4 linked regions of the Macaca mulatta genome follow. The protein of the gene in region 4 interacts with the protein of the main gene of each other region in a pairwise test. Links are inferred from orthologs where the notes say so. Each region holds a gene or a part of one and is shown on either strand. Other genes may lie near its edges.

What was found.
Region 1: the proteins of KLC3 (region 4) and BICDL2 interact in binary tests that used the Homo sapiens proteins (3 or more experiments, as listed by UniProt). The two-hybrid records come from large-scale screens. The link is inferred for Macaca mulatta from reciprocal best matches to the Homo sapiens genes KLC3 and BICDL2.
Region 2: the proteins of KLC3 (region 4) and CEP57L1 interact in binary tests that used the Homo sapiens proteins (3 or more experiments, as listed by UniProt). The two-hybrid records come from large-scale screens. The link is inferred for Macaca mulatta from reciprocal best matches to the Homo sapiens genes KLC3 and CEP57L1.
Region 3: the proteins of KLC3 (region 4) and TSNAX interact in binary tests that used the Homo sapiens proteins (3 or more experiments, as listed by UniProt). The two-hybrid records come from large-scale screens. The link is inferred for Macaca mulatta from reciprocal best matches to the Homo sapiens genes KLC3 and TSNAX.

Annotation. Positions count from the first base shown.
Region 1 is NC_133425.1:4,274,803-4,280,000, reverse strand, and holds part of BICDL2 (BICD family-like cargo adapter 2), read left to right. Parts: coding exon of another isoform or gene 1-45; exon of another isoform or gene 46-381; intron 382-645; coding exon 646-957; intron 958-4,262; exon of another isoform or gene 4,263-4,745; coding exon of another isoform or gene 4,746-4,832; intron 4,833-5,089; coding exon 5,090-5,198.
Region 2 is NC_133409.1:14,268,078-14,272,920, reverse strand, and holds part of CEP57L1 (centrosomal protein CEP57L1), read right to left. Parts: intron 3,555-4,843; coding exon 3,477-3,554; intron 3,362-3,476; coding exon 3,117-3,361; intron 2,005-3,116; coding exon 1,860-2,004; intron 1-1,859. UniProt on the Homo sapiens protein: Centrosomal protein which may be required for microtubule attachment to centrosomes.
Region 3 is NC_133406.1:17,465,014-17,470,047, forward strand, and holds part of TSNAX (translin-associated protein X), read right to left. Parts: intron 1,937-5,034; coding exon 1,809-1,936; intron 1-1,808.
Region 4 is NC_133424.1:57,869,906-57,875,138, reverse strand, and holds the end of KLC3 (kinesin light chain 3), read right to left. Parts: intron 5,191-5,233; coding exon 5,121-5,190; intron 4,697-5,120; coding exon 4,477-4,696; intron 3,994-4,476; coding exon 3,906-3,993; intron 3,831-3,905; coding exon 3,729-3,830; coding exon of another isoform or gene 3,456-3,728; exon of another isoform or gene 3,432-3,455; intron 3,237-3,431; coding exon 3,063-3,236; intron 2,314-3,062; coding exon 2,223-2,313; intron 2,146-2,222; coding exon 2,108-2,145; intron 2,039-2,107; exon of another isoform or gene 2,020-2,038; coding exon 1,913-2,019; intron 1,715-1,912; coding exon 1,651-1,714; intron 1,522-1,650; exon of another isoform or gene 1,409-1,521; coding exon 1,337-1,408; 3' UTR 1,228-1,336; downstream 1-1,227. Other genes in the region: ERCC2 (general transcription and DNA repair factor IIH helicase subunit XPD), read left to right, coding at 76-219, 382-525, 1,011-1,103. UniProt on the Homo sapiens protein: Kinesin is a microtubule-associated force-producing protein that may play a role in organelle transport. Plays a role during spermiogenesis in the development of the sperm tail midpiece and in the normal function of spermatozoa.

The sequences.
Region 1 (5,198 bases), on a different chromosome or scaffold from region 4:
CTGTGGAAAGTGGGGACTGAGGTGGGAATCCTTGGTGGGGGACATTGGAGGTGGGGACCTCTGAGTCTGGAGGGTGGAGTCAAAGCACCTGCTCAGGAGGTAACAGGAGAATGAGTGCGAGAGAGCTGGGAGGTCAGCAGCCGGGATCCGGGCTTCTGGTAGGGAAGGGAGCTGGATTCCTGGGGGCGAAGACACCTCAGTTCCCAAGTCTTAGGGTCCTGCATTCCTAGGAGGAGAAGGGGCTGGGCTCAACACCAACTGCTGAGTCCCTGAGAACCTGGGTTCTGGGAACTGTCTCAGATGGCAAGGGGCTAGGAGCCAAACTGCTGGGTTCTGGGAAGAGAGGGGAGAGGGAGCGGAGGTGGCCTGTGGCCCTGGAGCACTGGAATGAACTTTCCTGGGGACAGAGATTGTCTAGCAGAGGCCAAAGGCTGGGCAGGTCATTTCCTTCTGCTTGCTGCCTCAGTTTACCCCAGGGACATTAACGGAACTGGGTGGCCAAAACACAGGTCATTAACCCTTCGTGGCTCAGGAAGCCCTGGCTGCAGGACCTGGCAGGCTGGCAGCAGGTGGAGAATTCCTGGAGGGCCAGGTGTTGGGCGGAGGGTGAGCCCCTGTCAGACTGCAGAGTAGAGTGTCCCGCAGTCACCTGTCCCCGCAGATGCTGCAGGTGACATGAATTCTCCAGATGGGCCCAGCTTCCCGTCGGGGCTGCTCTCGGGGGGCGCCTCTCCCAGCGGCGACGAGGGCTTCTTCCCCTTTGTGCTGGAGCGGAGGGACTCATTCCTGGGAGGGGGCCCAGGGCCTGAGGAGCCCGAGGACCTAGCCTTGCAGCTGCAGCAGAAGGAGAAAGACCTGCTATTGGCGGCGGAGCTCGGCAAGATGCTTCTGGAGCGAAATGAGGAGCTGCGGCGGCAGCTGGAGACGCTGAGCGCCCAGCACTTGGAGCGTGAGGAAGTGAGCTAGCACTGGACTGGGTGGGTGGCCGGGTGGGCAGAGGAGGATGGGTGGGCCTGGAGAGGACAAGGGAAGGGGGTCAGGCACAGGACGGAGAGAGGAGCCGGGGAGGACAGCGGGGCAGGGGGAGGACATTGGAACAGATCAGAGCTGGGTCCAGTCCCCCTGGCAGTGTTGCCTAGTGGTAAATAACAGGAACTCTGGGTGCCGGGCACAGTACCTCACACCTGTAATCCCAGCACTTTGGGAGGCCAAAGCAGGAAGATCACTAGCCCAGTGTTCAAGATCAGCCTGGGCAACATAGTGAGACTCTGTCTCTACAAAAAATAAGAAAATTAGCTGGATGTGGTGGTGGCACCTGTAGTCTCAGCTACTCAGGAGGCCGAGGCAGGGGGATCACTTGATCCCAGGAATTTTAGAGTTTGAGGCTGCAGTAAGCTATGATCCACTGCACTACAGCTTGGATGACAGAGTAAGATCCTGAAAAAAAAAAAAAAGAAGGAAGGAAGGAAGGAAGGAAGGAAGGAAGGAAGGAAGGAAGGAAGGAAGGAAGGAAGGAAGGAAGGGAGGGAGGGAGGGAGGGAGGGAGGGAGGGAGGGAGGGAGGGAGGGAGGGAGGGAGGGAGGGAGGGAAAAGAAAAGAAAGAAAAAAAAGAAAGGAAAGGAAGGGAAGGGAAAGGAAAAAAGGCGTGAATTCTCAGGCCAGGCATGGTGGCTCACACCTGTAATCCCAGCACTTTGGGAGGCTGAGGTGGCAGGATCACTTGAGGTCAGGAGTTCGAGACCAGCCTGGCCAACATGGTGAAACCCCGTCTCTACTAAAAATACAAAAAAAAATTAGCCAGGCATGATGGGGTGTACCTGTAGTCCCGGCTACTTGGGAGACTGAGGCAGGAGAATCACTTGAACCTGGGAGGCAGAGGTTGCTATGAGCCAAGATCATGCCACTGCTCTCCAGCCTGGGTGACAGAGTGAGACTCCGTCTCAAAAAAAATAAAAAATAAATAAAAAATAAAAAATAAAAAACTGGGTTCAGACCCTTGTCCAGCTGTGTGACCCTGGGTCAGCTGCTGGCCCTCTCTGGATCTTGTGTCTAGCTCCTCAGCAGTATCACAGAACACCAGGCAACAGTCATGGGTGTCTACACCCTGCCTGGCACTGGGCTGAGTGCTTTCCATGACTCTCCATTGATTCTTGCCCAGCCCAATGAGGCAGGAACAGTTCCCTCTACCCAGGTTCTATTTTTGGCCAAATTCTTGCTCTGGGGTTCACATCTGGTCTCCTGAACACCCTCCTTCATCTGCTGCACTGGCCCCAACCACTGCCCTGAGCCTGACCTGGGTAGCTAACCCTCTCCACCAGGCCACCTAGTGGGCATCTCAACACAAGTGGCACTTGATTCCACACCCTCGATTCCATGCCCACATCACCTGCTGTCCCCATCCTTGCCTTCCCACTTGAGGACCAGGGCCTGTGCACCTCCTTGGCCTTTTTTTTTTTTTTTTTGGCGAGACACGGGCTCCCTCTGTCACCCAGGCTGTAGTGCAGTGGTGCAATCATAGCTCACTGGAACCTCAACCTCATGAGCTCAAGCAATCCTCCCATCTCAGCCTCCTGAGTAGTTGGGACTACAGGCACACATGCACCACCATACCTGGCTAATTTTTGCATTTGTTGTAGAGATGGGGTCTCACCATGTTGCCCAGGCTGGTCTCAAACTCCCGGGCTCAACCAAACCACCTGCCTCAGCCTCCCAAAGTGTTGGGATTACAGGTGTGAGTCAATGCGCTCAAACTTTCTTGAATGTACAAACTCCCCCCAATATCCACAAGCCCTTTTAATTCTTCTAGACTAGACTCCAACCACCCACTTGTTGGCTCTGCAGCCTCCAAGCTGATCACAGATCACAGCCTCCATCACCTCTGCCCCAGACACTCCAGCCACCTGCTCCTGAGTCCCCAGCTTCCACTCTTTTATTATTATTATTTTTTAGATGGAGTCTCACTCTGTTGCCCGGGCTGGAGTGCAGTGGTGCGATCTCAGCTCACTGCAACCTCTGCTTCCCGGGTTCAAGTGATTCTCTCACCTCAGCCTCCCGAGTAGCTGGGATTACAGGTGTGTGCCACCAAGCCCAGATAATTTTTGTATTTTTAGTAGAGACGGGTTTTTACCATGTTGGCCAGGCTGGTCTCGACTTCCTGACCTCAGGTGATCCACTTGCCTCAACCTGCAAAAGTGCTGGGATTATAGGTATGAGCCACTGCGCCCAGCCCCCAGCTTCCACCTTTGACCCCTGGAGCCCATTCTCTAAGGGACAGCCCGGAATTTTCAAAAGCTGCAAATCACATCATTTCACTCCTCAACCAGAATCTCCCCCTCACACTTAGAATGAAACCGAAACTCTTCCCCAGAGCCTAAAAGTCCCAGCGAGCTGGGCTCCTCCCTGACCTCACCACAGCAACACCACCCCTTTCTCCCTTCCTCCAAGAAGGGCAGCCGATCCACCCTCTCCCCGACAATGAGGGCTCTTTTCAGTTCCTCCAAGAACTCACGCTTGTTCCCTCAGGAACTTTGCACTTGCTGTCCCTTAATGCCTAGCCTTCTTTCTGGTGGCTCTTCTTGTCCTGCAGAAGTCAACTCAAACACGACATCCTCCTTGAAGGACCCTCCACCCCCACCCCACTCCTTACTCTCCATCACTTCCTGGGTCTCTTTGCAGCCCTTACTGTCCCCCTGAAATTACCTGGCTCCGGCATGTGTCCATGCCCTCTGGACTCTAAGCTACTTGAAGCAGTGAACTTGGTGGTCTCATGTGCCGCTGACAGCAGACCCCAGAGCAAGCGGAGCTCAGGAAATATGGGAGGATTGATAGTAGTGTGGGTGAATGGACTTAGAGATATTGTGTCCAGGCCACAAGGCATCAGCAGAGCTGAATATCAGCCAGGACAATGTGACCTTGAACCTGACAGCTTAATCCTGAAGCTGTATTGTCCCTACAGGATTTGGTTAAAAGTTCTGCTGCCTGAGTTGGCATCCCTGCTTTGTGAAGTTATTGTGTGGGCATGGTGGCTCACGCTGGTAATCCCAGCACTTTGGGAGGCCCAGGAGGGTGGATTGTTTGAGACCAGGAGTTCAAGACCAGCCTGGCCAACATGGTGAAACCCCATCCCTACTAAGAAAACAAAAAAAAATTTGCCAGGCGAGGTGGTGCACACCTGTAATCTTAGCTACTTGGGAGGCTGAGGCAGGAGGATCTCTTGAACTTGGGAGGCGGACATTGCCATGGGCCGAGATTGTTCCACTGCACTCCAGCCTGGGCAAAAGAGTGAAGATCTGTCTCAACAAAATAATAATAAATAATAAAAACAAAAATAAATGACTGTGTGTCCTTAGGCAAGGCACTTAGCAACTATGAGCTTCAGTTTCATCTAAACCCAGGACATTAGTGATTCTCCCTCTAGTGGATGAAATGAAGTAATGCAGATAAACCCCTAATGCAGGGTACCTGCCAGTCACTGCAGTAGCTGTGACAATTGTCACCTTCGTCCAAGCCCATCCCGCTTTGAGGGCCTAGAGAGAGTGGGCCAGAGGTTAACCCCCGACTCATCTGCTTCCCCACGCTGGGCATCTGGGTGTGCCAGGGCGTTCCCCCGCTGGTCAGACAAGTTTTGGGGCCGGGGTGGGGCTGACCAGGGTTAATTAGAGGGAACTGGCTAGCAGGAGCTGGGGAGGGGGCTGGGCAGAGTCCAGGCCTCCAGAGCCCCTGGGACACAGCAGGTGTGTGCTGCCATGGGCCGGGGCTTGAACTCTGCCAGACTCAGGCGCCAAAAACGGCGCTTGCGACCTCGGGTCCAGAAGCCCAGGCAACAGCTGGAGGTGAGTGGTCATCAGAGAGCCCCATCCCCACCCTTGCCCTGGGCGCACGCGTCCTGTCTGCCCGGAACCTTCCCTCTAAATCTCTGGGTCTTGCTCATTCTTCCTCCCTCATTCTCCCTTGCTTTTGTGTCTATCTTGGACACAAGGCCCCCTTAGGCTTTCTCCCTAGGTGTCTGTCCCTCCATCCCCATCTCTCTGTGCCTGTCCAGTCTCATCGGTGCCTCTCTGCCTCTGTCCCTCTGCCCTGGCCCCTACAGCGGCTCCAGCAGGAGAACCATGAGCTCCGGCGAGGCCTGGCAGCCCGAGGAGCCGAGTGGGAGGCCAGGGCCGTGGAGCTGGAGGGGGACGTGGAGGCCCTGCGGGCCC
Region 2 (4,843 bases), on a different chromosome or scaffold from region 4:
CTAACACTGTGCTTGTCAGGTAGAATTATAATGAAGAAAACAGTTCTTACTTTCAAGGAGCTTACTGCTCCTATTAGTGAAAAAAAGCATATATGTGACAACTAGAGAATACAATGAACCAGGATAACTTTGAATAAGACAAAAAGTGTATATGTAAGAAGCCCAAAGTAAGATAAGGTCAACGTGGGCTGCAGAGACTGGGGGGAAAGGTTGTATGTAAGATAACTGGTAAAAACCAGAGAACAGAGAGCAGAGAGAAGAACTTTTCTGGTAACATTAACAGCAAATCTAATAATTGGTTCTAGGAATGAGTATCAAGTTTTGAAAATTATACATACACACACGTGTGTGTATGTATGTGTATATATATGTGTGTGTGTATAAATATGTGTGTTTTTTTTAACTGCCATTCAGGAGTACTTTAAATTCAGGAATACCTTTGTGTACAAATACTTTTGTATATTCCTGAATTTAAAGTACTCCTGAATGGCAGTTTAAAAAAAAGTCAAGGGAATAACTTTATCACCTTGAGTAGTATATGGTAATAGTGGAGGCAGACAGAATTAAACAAAAACAATACGTATCAACCAGCCAAAACCCATTTCTTCAAAGTCTAACCCATTACTTAATCTGTTTCACTTGAGCATAGGTCGAATTTGTAGAGCTGACCCAGACTTTGGGTGAGTACCTAGTTCTCTATTTAGTTAATAATCAATTTTTATTACAGATATTACATTTATCATAATAAAGTGCTTAAAATTTATACTGGTATAGCTATTATGGAATATATATCATGTTTTTCAAAATATAGTATATATATACTAGCTGAGTTTTAAAAATGATCATTCTTCTATTCCTTTCAAGTTTCTCTTATGCAATTTCAAGAAAGTGTACAAGTTGTATAATCTTCACTCCAAAACATACAGAAATTTTTACTTATTATAGCCTTAAAAGCCAGTAAAATAAAAATATTTGTTTTAAAAATGTCACTTCTTTCTTTCTTCCTTTCTTTCCCACAATAAGAATAAAAGTAATAATATTCTGCATCTTTTATTACTTTCCTATAAAAGGCAGGGAGGCTTATTTGTGACATTCATATATCATTAACTTATATGAATGATGATTTTGTCCATAGGCAGATGGCTACATGAGGTGACTTGAGGGTTCCTGGGAAAGGCTCCCTCTGCCTTCTGCTCCAGCAGTGTAATAGTGCTGCAAGTTCAACCTACGGAGTCATTGTCTTGGAATTAAATATTATATTCCATGATTTTTCTGTTAAAATAATAAAACTGTTAGCTATTCTTAGTTATTACATCTTAACAGAAGTATAGAGTTTTCCTCACCATCCCTGTCCTACTCACTATAGCTAGCTGAGTATAGGTCCCCAGGGAATGGAACACAACACAGCCTGTTTTGGGAAAGAGGAAATCATGCTTTAAGGACTGGGGCACTGCTTAGGAGCCAGGTTTATGTCTGGTAGTGAATAAGAGACCTGCTGACATAAGGGGTATCATTAAAGCATTAGAGGAGAGAAGGAAGAGGAAAAAGAATGCTAAAAGGGTAATTGGAGGGCTGCTAAGGCAAGTTTAGTTTACCTCACAATTTCCCCAAAGCAATTTCTGAATACATAACTGAACCTATTTGTTCACTTAAAAAATTTTAACTTGGAGAGTTACGTAGGAGGTCCATGTTATTCCAGTGGGACAGATGGCTCTATTCTGTCATAGGCCTAAGTGACTACCATCCATCTTTTCACTAAATCCCATATACAGACCTCAAATTTGGAAAGTCGTACAGAGATACAACACTGAATCCACATTTTATCTTTTTATTAAAATCTCTTAGTAAAGCCTTCTTACACTGTCTTGATGCTTCTTCAGTTTGGAGATTTGTTCTCCTTTAATTTCCATTTTCTTGACTAAACACTCTAGTTCACATTCTATGTCGTCACAGACTGAATGGCTTTCAGTTTCCTTCATTTGTTTCAGTAGTTCTTGGTGCTCCCTATGAAAGAATAGCAAATATTAAGCACTACTATAGTTTATTGCATATATGTCTTTGCCATAATTAAGCAATTTTCTGTTCAATCATAAATTTTAGTCAGACTTAAATATTAACCTTTAAAAACAGCATCTTTCTTTAGGGTTGTTTAATTAAATCTACAGTAACTATAACCAGGCTCCTGTGATTTGAAATTAAATACCTTTACAAATATCTTAAGACTGCTAAGCAACTTTAAAAAATATGTGAATTCCTGATGCTCATAGCTCAATGTAGTAAAATGTGTGATGTCTTTAACAGAGGTATTAAAGGGCTTTCTTCCTCATTATTGATATAGGATCTTTGGAAGAATTCCAGCTGTGGAAGTATTTGCCTGAAAAATTTCTGGATTTGGAGTTAGCCTACTGAAATGCTGTTAACAGAAACAGCTGTATCTTCTACAGATGTCTTAGGTCAACTAGCTGGTCAGCCAAACCACATAGTTCTGGAATTTCTATTGAATATATATTTAAGCAAGTGGGCACAATATAATGTATCCCATATGGAAATCTTCCTTACTATAGATGCTTCAAAATCTGTAATGCAGACCAGCCAGAGTCTAAAACAAGGAATTACATTCCTACTTGTCTAATTAAATAATTCATTCAGCTAAAAGATTCTAAAACACAAAAGGAGAGCTTTTCTTATAAACGCTTTTGTGAGTTTTAATCTAAGGTCATCAGATCCTATATGTTAGAATGACAGTAGTAGCTATCAGTCCAGATCTTGGGAATACAGAAATACCTTAGAATGAAAAAGTAGTAGTTATAAAGAACTGAAATTTTAAATAGTAACAAATACAATGAAAAATAGTGACAACAAATCTTTCCAAATGGCTAAGTAAGGCCTTTAAGAATTTATAAGTGGTATTGTTCTTAAGACTAAGAAGAAAAAGTGATATGGTACTTCTCCTGATAAAGAATAAAAATTGCTGGCCAGGCACGGTGGCTCACGCTTGTAATCCCAGCACTTTGGGAGGCTGAGGCAGGAGGACTGCCTGAAACCATGAGTTCAAGACTAGCCTGGGCAACATAGCAAGACACTGTCTCTTAAAAAAAAAATATATAAATACTTACATGCTCATTTGGTCCAGCTCATCTTGCATTGCCATCAAAAGTTCAGATAAATTGTCACAAATGGAAATGGACTTTTCTGAGTCACGAGGAATAGCCTTACACCAGGAAGTTGTTCTAGAAGGCCTGGGGAGACATCTAGTCTCAGCCACGTTAAAAGGTTTCTGAAGGATATGTGGGCCACGATGTTGCCTCCTCTGCAAAAGGTTTTGCATACTTGCATTCACAGAACAGTTTGCACTGGTGGACTTATGGGAAAAGAAACAACTGAGAATAATTTTAAATGACTGAAGATATTTTAATAGCACTTACAATGAAACAGGAATTTTTTTGAACAACTATCTTCATTTTATCCCCTCTCACCTTTTCAGCCACAAAAGGCAGTGCTCCAAACTTTGAACAAATTTGCCAAGGTGGTCCTCTCTTTATACATTTAGTTTTCTAGAGATTGACAAGAAAAAAACATAAATAAGAAATTATTTTAAAAGTTATTTATGATATGAAGAACTCTCAAAACTCAACAGAAAACAATGCAACTGGAAAATGGGCAAAAAGACATGGACAGAAATTTCACTGACAAAGACATATGTATGGCAAACATATGAAAAGATATTCAACATCATTAATTATGGAAATGAAAGTTAAAATTAGTGAAATATCACTGCACATCCATCAGAATGGCCAAAATAAAAAATAGTGACAATACCAAATGTTGGCAAGCATGCAGAGAAAATAAAACCACTCACATATTGTTGGTGGGAATACAAAATGGTACAGCCATTTTGGAAGACAGTTTGGCAGTTTCTTATAAAACTAAAAATGTACTTATTACATGACCCAACAATTGCTCTCTTAGGCATTTATCCTAGAAAAATGAAAACTTATGTTCACATAAAAACATGTATACAAATGTTCATAGCAGCTTTATCTGTAATAGCTAAAAAATTGGAAACAATCGAAATATCCTTTTTTTTTTTGAGACAGGGTCTCATTCTGTCACCCATACTGGAGTGCAATGGTACAATCTTGGCTTACCGCAACCTCTGTCTCCCAGGCTCAAGCGATTATCCTGCCTTAATCTCCCAAGTAGCTGGGATTACAGGTGTGTGCCACTACTGCCCGGCTAATTTTTGTATTTTTAGTAGAGACGAGGTTTCACCATATTGGCCAGGCTGGTCTTGAACTCCTGACCTCAAATGATGCACTCGCCTTGGCCTCCCAAACTGTTGGGATTACAGGCATGAGCCACCATGCCGGACTCCAGATATCCTTTAACAGATGAACAGTTAAATTGTGGTACATCTGTAATGCGGAATATCACGCAGAAATAAAAAGGATGTATTGATACATACAACAACTTGGATGGACCTCAAGGGAAAAAAGCCAATCTCAAAAAGTTACATACTGTATAATTCCATTTATATAATAATATTGAAATAATAAAATATACAGATGGTGAACAGATTAGAGGTTGCCAATGTTCAGGGAAGGGGATGTGTAGCTATAGAGGGATTGCATGAAGGAGTCTTTTAGTGGTGGAAGAGTTCTGTATCTTGATTGTTGTGATAGTGACATGAATCTACGCATATGATTCTCTCATAAAATCTACACATGTGATTTCTCTCTATGTAAAACTCTCCTACTGCTGTAAGTTACCATCTAAAATTACAACTCTAATCATGTCCCTACTTTTCTCAGAAGCCTTCAATAGTTCCTGTTTATAGAATAAA
Region 3 (5,034 bases), on a different chromosome or scaffold from region 4:
GATTCAAGTTTAAAGGAAGTTACATAAATGTAAGCTGAGAAGAGGGAGATAGCTTTCTTAAGATCACTCTTTGCTATGTATCTAATATATGACTCCTAACACTGAACTCTGCAGAGACCATCTGGTGCAACGTCCTCATCGTTTAGCGTAAGAAATCAGGCCAGAGAAACATCACAGGTAATATGATGTTGAGCTATGGGAATATGATGTTGAGCTATGGGAATATGATAGCTAGTTAGTGGCACTATTGTTTCTAATCTATTTTTCTGCACATTTGAAATTTTTTCACAAAAAGTTTTTTAAATAAAGATTACATAGTTTTGACAATATTCTCAACAGGCAAGTAAGAGCAAAATACCTTTCCCAATCAAATTCCCAGAATTTTCAGCACCACGCATCTTTAGCACTAAAACTTATTTATGAACATAGTCTTAATTTGAAACGTGTGTATGAACATTATAGCCCCATAATCTTAAAATAATCTAGTACCTAAGTCCTGAAAACAGTACTCTGACTCTCAATTTTCTGGCCTTTTCCCCAATATTTTCATTTTGAAACAGAGAGAACTTGAAAGTGTGGAAACTTCCCTAATATTATGTGAGAAGCAGGGTCAAATAGGCCTGCTTTACTTCTTTGTGCAATTCAGTCTACACTATACGAATAAAAAATATGAAGAAATGTTACTTCTCAAAATAAACTTCCTCCTTAATACACTTTATATAATTTAAAAAGTTAATACATGGCTTCCTTAAAGTAAGTTATACCTGTCATGCCAAATTAGTCTCATTTGTTTTAATATTTTAGCTGATATTCAAGAAAATATTATTTCTACAGTGTCTTCCATCTCCTGCCTACCTATCCTGAATATATGGTGTTTTTAAAAGTGATTTTAAAAAGATAAAAAATATGAAAATTTAAAAATTTTATTTAATTTGATCTTTAAGTGTACTGGTATCTCTGAAAGTATCAAATAGTCAATACAGCTTACCTTATTGCCTGAATGTTATATCTTGAAACCCAGAAGGAAAAAAATAGTATTTGTTTAAAAGTCAAACTGCAAAGTTTTTTTTCTTAACTCAGAAAAGCTACATAAATTTCAGATACAAGCATTATTGAGTAAATGATTAACAGCTCTCACTATATAAAAACTACTTTATAACAGCAAACTACTGAGCACTCCCGTGTCAGGTGCTATATACAATGTATATTACGTGTCAGGTGCTGCTGTATATTGCCTAATTAATAACCTTTAGGTCAAATCCTTTAAAACAACCCTTTGAGGTAGGTACCTGATGCAAGGGATCCCTGTAGCACACTGTGAGAAGTGCTGGGAGAGCAGACAAGGGCACAGGCTTGGATTCCAAACCTAACTTCAAATCTTAGTTCTGCTACACTTTTTAGTTGTGTGGCTTCTGGTAAGTTACCTAACCTCTCTAAAAGCCTGTTTCTTTCTGTGTAAAATGAGAGTAATAATGCTTACCACATACGGTTAATACAAAGATTAAATAAGATAGTGCTTACAAAGGGCAGGTGAAAAATAGAGAGTAAAACCAAAAGAGGACTTACAGTAAGCACTCCATAACGCTTTAGGTAAAGAGCATTACTTTCCCAATATGCCCAGAGTTGTTCTTGTTCTATCCACTAACTGAAATATTTAAAAAGACCATTTCCTAGTTGAGACTCTACAAAACCACACTTTAGAAAGAACATTCCCATCTCAGTCTCAGCATAAGCCAATAAATCTACTAGAATCATCATACTGTTACATAAATTATATCATAAATGTGAAATAAACTTTAAATTCTCACAGTTTTATTTTCTTTCCCATTGTCGTCGGTCGTAAATATCAATTGTTTATTAATTTCATCCATACTAATTAATGATCGTGTTTTGATGAAGTGTTGAAAAGAGACAGCTTCCACATATTCCTGTAGTCCTGAAAACACGACAAAGAAAATTAACTCAGAATAAGCACTTAATTATAAGAATGTCATAATAAAAAACTTCAAATTGATCATCATCTAGCTCAAAAAAAAAAGCTTAATGGATGCCTACTATAATGCCACTACTAGACTAGATACTTGGAATAGAAAGAATGGCATGGAGGCCGGGTGCGGGGCAGGTCAGGAGTTCGAGACCAACCTGACCAACATAGCAAAACCCCATCTCTACTAAAAATACAAAAATTAGCTAGGTGTGGTGGCGGGCACCTGTAATCTCAGTACTAGGGAGGCTGAGGCAGGAGAATCACTTGAACCTGGGAGACGAAGGCTGCAGGCTGCAGTGAGCTGAGATCATGCCATTGCACTCCAGTCTGGGCAATGCGAGCAAAACTTCATCTCAAAAAAAAAAAGAATGGCACAGATGGTGGGAACTGCCACTGAACAAAGCAAACATTCCTGTGACAGCTCATATATAAATGTATTCAGTTTCTTCTTTCTACATCATAAGTCATTAGTCTTAAAATTCTACTTTATCCTACAGAGAGAAATATCAAAGATTTTTAGGGTTTTTTTTTTTTTTTGGAGACAGAATTTTGCTCTTGTTGCCCAGGCTGGCACGATCTTGGCTGACTGCAACCTCCGCCTCCTGGGTTCAAGCAATTCTCCTGCTTCAGCCTCCAGAGAGTAGCTGGGATTACAGGTGCCCACCCCTACGCTTGGCTAATTTTTGTATTTTTCGTAGAAACGAGGTTTCACGATGTGGGCCAGGCTGGTCTTGAACTCCTGACCTCAGGTGATTCGCCCACCTCAGGCCTCCCAAAGTGCTGGGATTACAGGCGTGAGCTACTGTGCCCAGCCAGAAAAAAAAAATTTTAAGAGTTTAAGTAATAAGGATTTAAGAAAAGCCTATTCTTGCTGGGCGCGGTTGGCTCACGACTATAATTCCAGAACTTTGGGAGGCTGAGGTGGGTGGATCACCTGAGGTCAGGAGTTCGAGACCATCCTGGCCAACATGGCGAAACCTCGTCTACTAAAAACACACAAAAAATTAGCTGGATGTGGTGGCAGGAGTCTGTAATCCCAGCTACAGCTACTTGGGAGGCTGAGGCAGGAGAATCGCTTGAACCTGGGAGCCGGAGCTTGCAGTGAGCCAAGATCGCGCCACTGCACTCCAGCCTGGGGTACAAGAGCGAGACTTTGTCTCAAAAAAAAAAAAAAAGAAAAGAAAAGCCTATTCCATAAATTTTGATAGACTTTAATAAAAATTATACAAATTGATTTTTGTTGTATTTTGCTGGTTAATGAAGCAATGATTCAAACAAATGAGACACAAAATTAAGAATCATTTGGGCCAGGCATGATAGCTCATGCCTGTAATCCCAGCACTTTGGGAGACTGAGGCGTATGGATCATGAGGTCAGGACATCGAGACCATCCTGGCTAACATGGTGAAACCCCGTCTCTACTAAAAATACAAAAAAATTAGCTGGGCATGGTGGCAGGCACCTGTAAGTCCCAGCTATTCGGGAGGCTGAGGCAGGAGAATGGCGTGAACCCGGGAGGCGGAGCTTACAGTGAGCCAAGATAGCGCCACTGCCCTCCAGACTGGGCGGCAGAGCAAGACTCCGTCTCAAAAATAAATAAATAAATAAATAAATAATTTTTAAAAAACAGAATCATTTGGATCTTTCTTAAAGTTTTAATAGGCAAAATCACTTTAAGTAATGTAGGTAAAAATGTGAAAATACTGTTTATCTCTTAATAGTTCAAAATGGATCTAAGACTAGGTAACTCCTTTCTGCTTTGGTAGTTTAAACAAAAAAGAGTTATGTAATACAGTTTTGTACAAGATAGAAACAACTCTTGAAAAGTAAATTTTGGTAAAGATCAAAATGTAAGTATAGTTTTAAAATTTTTTATATAAATGTAAAGGCCACACGTGCAATTTTGTTACATGTCTACAGTACTATACTTTTCCAAGTGTTTTAAGACAACTACATTCTATAGCCACAATTTTCAATATTATTTTATTATGTCTTAATCTAAAAGGTGATACATGGAAAAAGCATTTCTTAATTATAATTATTGTTAGCTTAAGAAACTTTGTCTTTTTAAGGGTTTGTTGTAAAAACAGCAAGAGAATACATTTCTGATTATGCAAAGAAAACTCAGAACTTAACAGGATCATAATACTTAAGTTCTCCAACATTTTTTATGACAGAGTCCTGCTACTTACAAATCTCCCCCACCTGACACTACACTTCGGGTCTGCCGGCAACAGTGTTGGGGAGGCTAATAGCTATGGTATCATCACATCAAACACCAGGCAAAGGTCAAGGATACCAGGGAAAATGGGTGACCCTGGTTTTGGTAGCACTAAGAGTAAACTTAACTAAATGAAAATATCCCGACTCATTCTGAGCTGCAAATGATGCCCAAATATAGGTCAGAAGGGATAATTTGTTTAACAAACTATAATGTTCTGAGCAATTAAACATTAACAAGATTAAGTTTAACAAAAGAGAGGATGTCATTTATATTTATAATTTAAAATATTTTTATTAAATGTTTAATTTTTTGAAGTATTAGTTTTATGAATAGGTGACACCATCCAGTTCCCCCCTCAAAGAAAATCGCTGTTATTTCCTTCTAAAGATACTTCACGCACACAAAAGCAAACAGCAAAACGTAAAGATTAATAATCACATCTCTATGCTCTAATGTGGCTAGCCTCTTACGAGCTAAACAAGAAGACATGCACAAAGATTTACATACAAGGATGTTCGTCATTGTAACAAAAAAATTTTTTAAAGTTAGAAGACCAGTAATAGGTGTATCACTTGTCAATTTTTGTCTCTTACTTCCATTATTTCAGAAAAAAGAGGTAGATGCTTAAAGCATGTCTCCTATGCCAGCTGGCAATATATTAAGCGTTGCTGGTACAGGGTGCTAGGTGCTCAAAGAACTGTAAAGGAAAGAGCTCTCTGCCTGGTTCTGCTGTGCCCCTCTTCACAGCCCTCTGAGTGTGGGGCAGCCAGCATTTCACGGTGGCCAGCAGCAGGTAGTACCTGCCTGGGGACAGCTTCTTTTG
Region 4 (5,233 bases):
GAAGTCCCAAAGTGTTAGGGCCAGGGGAGGGACGGCTCCCCCACCCCCCCAACTCCTCGTCCTTCATTTCTGCAGGCACGGCTGGAATACCTGCGGGACCAGTTCCAGATTCGTGAGAATGACTTTCTCACCTTCGATGCCATGCGCCATGCGGCCCAGTGTGTGGGTCGGGCCATCCGGGGCAAGACGGACTACGGCCTCATGGTCTTTGCCGACAAGGTGCAGGTTCAGGGGTGCCCCTGTGCTCGCACCCCAGCCTCTGAAAACCAGGCTATTTGCCCGTTCATCTCCCAGATGGGGTGTGTCACAGGGTGGAGGGTGGCCCAGGCTCCCTGACTCTGGTGCTGACGTCCTCTCCCTGGCCTGCACTTCTGCCCACAGCGGTTTGCCCGTGGGGACAAGCGGGGGAAACTGCCCCGCTGGATCCAGGAGCACCTCACAGATGCCAACCTCAACCTGACTGTGGATGAGGGTGTCCAGGTGGCCAAGTACTTCCTGCGGCAGATGGCACAGCCCTTCCACCGGGTGAGGCCTGCATCCCCCTCCCAGCATCCTCCCAGGCTGAGCTCCTCCTCCAGAAAGGCCCCTTGGATTCTCCCCACTCCCCAACCCCAGCCTGTCCTCCTGCCCTCTACAGAGAGAAGTTTATTGTGCATCTGCATGCCAGGCTCTGGGGGGTAGGGAGAGATTCGAGGGGCCACAGATGCCAGCAGGTGGCCCAGGCAAGGCAGGGTGAGAATTTGGGGTGAGGAGGTATCAGGCATTGAGACTGTGCTGGCCTGGGGAAAGCCCGTCCTTCTCCGACGCCCTGGCTGGCTCCTCCCTCAGCCCCCTCTTATGTGGACAGGAATGGCCCACTCTGGATTATACTGACATCTCCAAATTCAAACATCCTGGCCCTCATGTCTCAGACCCCTAATGCCCATCGGGGGCGGGTGGTCGGGGAAGTACAGCAGCTGCCTGGGCCCCTTCCTGACAGTGCCCCCCTTACTTTCCTCTGTTCTCTGCAGGAGGATCAGCTGGGCCTGTCCTTGCTCAGCCTGGAGCAGCTGGAATCAGAGGAGACGCTGCAGAGGATAGAGCAGATTGCTCAGCAGCTCTGAGCGGGATGGGCAGGGCCATAAATGATTCCTGGTGACTCCTGAGTCTTGCCTGGCCCTAAACCAGCAGCTCTGAGGCCGTAGCGGGGGTGGTGCTGGAAGGTCTTATAAACTCAGGTGACATTCCTCACTGTCACATCCACGGCCTTTAATCGCAGAAGAGGGCAGGGGGCACCTAAGAGATGATAGACCCCCCCCGTCCCCCACCAGCTGAGGCCAACACAGGTCACTGGATATTAGCGGGGACTCAGGTCCTGGGTGCTGGTGCTGAGTGTCCGAGGGGCCTTGTCCAGGTGCCAGCTGGGGAACTGGAGACAGGCACAGGGGATGGTTGGAGGGGAGGGACAGGTGCTGCATCCAGCCTGGCAGCCAACCGTCTACCCATCTCACCTCTACCCCAAGTAAAACCCATCTTTGCTCCTGTCCTGGGTCTCTTTTAACACACCCACCACCTGCTGACTCTGACGCCGGCCTGACCGCCCTGCTTTTGCCTTATCTCTGCACCTACCCACGTGGCCCCACTCCATTTTTGACCCCGGTGTCCCCTCACCTGAGTCCCAGGAGCCCTTGGGCCATCCACATTGAGTGTGTTGAGCGACATGGCTCTCTTCATTCTGCGAAGGGGGCAGCAGGGAAGAAGCGAGTGAATCCAGGAGTGGCCCCTCCAGGAGGGAGCTTTCCAGCACAGGATTTGATCTATGTGTATCACAGGGGAGATGGGAGCCATGGAAGGTTCTTGAGCAGGAGGGGTGGGGGGTGGGCTATGAATTCTGCTGATGTCAGGGCTCTTTGCCGACCTGATCCACACTCACCCGGCCGCCCCCGCCGCCCCCTCGCCTCGGAGGCGGGAGACCAGCTTCTCACTTCCTCGCCGGATAGACTCGCGGATCTTAGAGAGGGAGCTGCTGCGGCGAAGGGCCTGGGGAGGGGCAGGGATGCTGCTCATATCTCCGAGCCCATGCAGTCCTCACGCCTTCCCCAGGAGCCGAAGCACAGCCCATCCTCACCTGTTCTGTGTCACCAGCTGTGCCTGTGTTGGGGGCACCTAGGGGAAAGATGGGGGACACCGAGATGGGGACGTAGAGAAGCCACCAGGAGGGAAGGCAGGGGCTCGGGGCTCACCGAGAGGGGCAGGTAGATCCTCCTTGTGGAGGATTTCTTTGTACAGCTCTTCCGCTTGTTGGTACTTGTTCTGTTTCAGGTAGGCTGAGGCCTGCGGAGAAGGGAGTGTCTTGGGTGATCTTGGCTCTAGTCTGGGAACTTTTCGGACCCCAGTTCCCAACACTGCATCCAGTCCCACTTTTTTTCTTTTTTTTTTGTAGAGACAGGGTTTTGGTATGTTGCCCAGGCTGGTCGTGAACTCCTGGCCTCAACTGATCCTCCTGCCTTGGCCTCCCAAAGTGCTGGGGTTACAGGCGTGAGCCACCACACCTGGCCCCAGTCCCACTTTCTACTGTGCTGACCTGGCCATATCCCGCCCCTGCCTAAAGCCTTGCCCTGGGGCAGAGGGGGTTTGGAGCTCCGCCCTACCTCCTGCCTGGGGGATGGAGGGCAGGCAACCTCCTGTTTCTGAGCCTGTCTGCTCTACTTTGGGCTGGTGGCATGGCCTCTCTTCTCACATGCAAAGTAGAGTGACAGCTTCTACCTCATAGGGACACTGTAAGAACTAGTGATGTGGGGACAGAGCTAAGAGGGGAGCCGGCCACAGTGAGCTCAATAAATGTCTGCTGCTGCCATCTGTGCCTGCCAGCTTCCCCTTCACTGACTGTCCTGGGTCCCGTGGACTCACGCATTTCCTGATTCCGTGTTCTGTGCTGAGCCAGCTCCTGTGTCTGATAGGACACTTGCTCCAAGGGCCCTGCCTCAGGGGGACCCCTCCCCATGGTGCCCTGTACCCAACCAATGGGTGCCTCCCCAGGGCAGACCCTCCACTCTGGGCCCACTCAGCCCCAGGGACCTCACCAGATTGTTCTTGGTCTTGGCCACGTTGGGATCATGGGGCCCGCCCAGGGCCTCATAGATGCTCAGGGCCCGGGCGTAGTGCCGTTCCACGTCCTCAAACTTGCCCTGGTTCTGGCACAGCAGGGCCAGGTTGTTGAGCTGCTTGGCCACATCAGGGTGGTCAGCACCTAGGACCTGGGGGCCAGGGGTCACAAGTCAGAGGGGTCATACAGGATTGGTGGGACACGTGACATCACTTCTGTATGGTGGTCACAAGTTAGGGATTACAGGGCCAAAGCAGAGTGACCTGAGAGGTTGGGGGCTGGGGCACAAGTGACACCGTCGAGCGGGATTACTGAGGTCAGAGGCCAAGGTGATCCAGAAACTCACGGGGCACAAGGTGAGATGGGTAGGTCAGGGCTGGGCTTGTGCCAGTGGCCATGAGGGGTTGGAAAGGCTGTGGCGGGACCTAGTTGGGGGGTGGCGTGTGAGGTAAGGCAAGAGGTCAGAGTCAGGGTCAAGACCAAACTGGGATCTCAGAAGGTCGAGGGTGATGGGTTGGGCTCCAATTGGGGTCTCCCAGTACCAAACGCAAGGGGCCCGAGGATCAGGGTCACGATGTAAGTGCTCAGGATCCATGGAGAGGGCTACAAGGGGTTCCTCGGGGTTGGGTAAGGGGGATGGGACCTTCTCTCGGATCTCCAAAGCGCGCTGGCACAGGGGCTCTGCCTCCCGGTAACGCCCGCGCTTCCCATAGAGGACGGCCAAGTTGTTGAGCGTGGCGGCCACCTGTGGGGTTGGGGGAGACACAGGTCAGGGATGGGCAGGCATGGCCCCACTTCGTCTCCCTGGGGCCCCACTCACCGCAGGGTGCTCAGGGCCCAGCGTCTGCTCCCGGATCTGCAGGGCATCATGGAGGAGCTCTGTGGCTTCTTTGTACTTGTTCTGGTCCCTGTGTGGAAGCCCAGGGATGGCGGGGGTTGGCCGGGGGTTGGGGCAGCTACAGCCACAGGGGCTGGGCTAATTCTGGCAGGTCCAGGGAACCTGGCTGAACCAAGCATGGGTAGCACCCTTTGGGGGCCTTTTATGGGCCCTTACATACCTTCCAATTCTCTAACACCAGGCCCTGTATCCCCAGACCTCTGCCAAGCTTCTAACCACCCCAGTTCTCTTGCCTGCTCTTGGGGTCCCTGGTGTCTGTGCTCTGACTCCTCTCTGCCTGACTCAGTGCCCCGCCAACCCGCCAGATCCCTGGCCCACTCCCTCTTTGCCGTTCTTACAGCAGGAGCCTTCCCTTCCTTTCCCATTCTGGCTGTCCCCTCCTCCGACCTCCCCAGGTGCTCCATGGTGGCAGAGGGGACCAGGGTCCCTCCACTTGCACCCAATGGGTCCCTGCCGTTCCTGCCCCCTGCCATCATGGCCGGCCGCATCTCACCGGTATACCAGTGCCAGGATGTTGAGCATGGTGGCCACGTCAGGGTGGCAGTGGCCCGAGCTGCGCTCCAGGTCCTCCAAGGCCTGGCGGCACAGGGGCACCGCCACCTCATACCGGCCCTGCCCCGCGTACTGGATCACGAGGTTATGCAGGGTCCGAAGGCGGGCAGGGATCTCATAGCCACCCTGCTGAGCTGCTGCTGCTCCTGCGGCCTCAGGACCTGGGTGGGGCAGGGTGGGCTCTGGGTCACTGCAAGCCTCCTAAGCCTCCTGCCCCTCCATCCTCGCACGAGGAGACACACGCCCCAGACTGCCTAACTGGCCCCTGGGACTATGGGCCCCCATGTTAACTTCTGAGATTGGAGTCACTAGCATCTAACCAGCTGGTGGGATGCATCCTGGCCTCGGGACAGGTACATGGCAGCTCACTTGCCCTGCAAGATGTGAATACGGGGCCTGCCGGGCTCATGGCAGCTACCCTGTCTTCGCAGCTCCCAGCCTCACCTGCTCACTGTCACATTCAGGGTCCTCCTGACCCTGCCCTCACCTCCCCATCCCTGTTCAGAGATTTTGGGGTTCTGCAGCTCAGAGCCCGCTCCCCACCCTGGCCCGCCATCATCTGTGGCATGTACTCCCGATACCCACCTTTCCTCTCCTCCTCCTCGCTGGGGAACAAGGAGGCCAGGCTGTCTCGGCGAGGCGGGGACTCAGACTGCTGCAGGGACAGGAAAGTGGGGGGCCGGGGGAGGGGGGCTTGT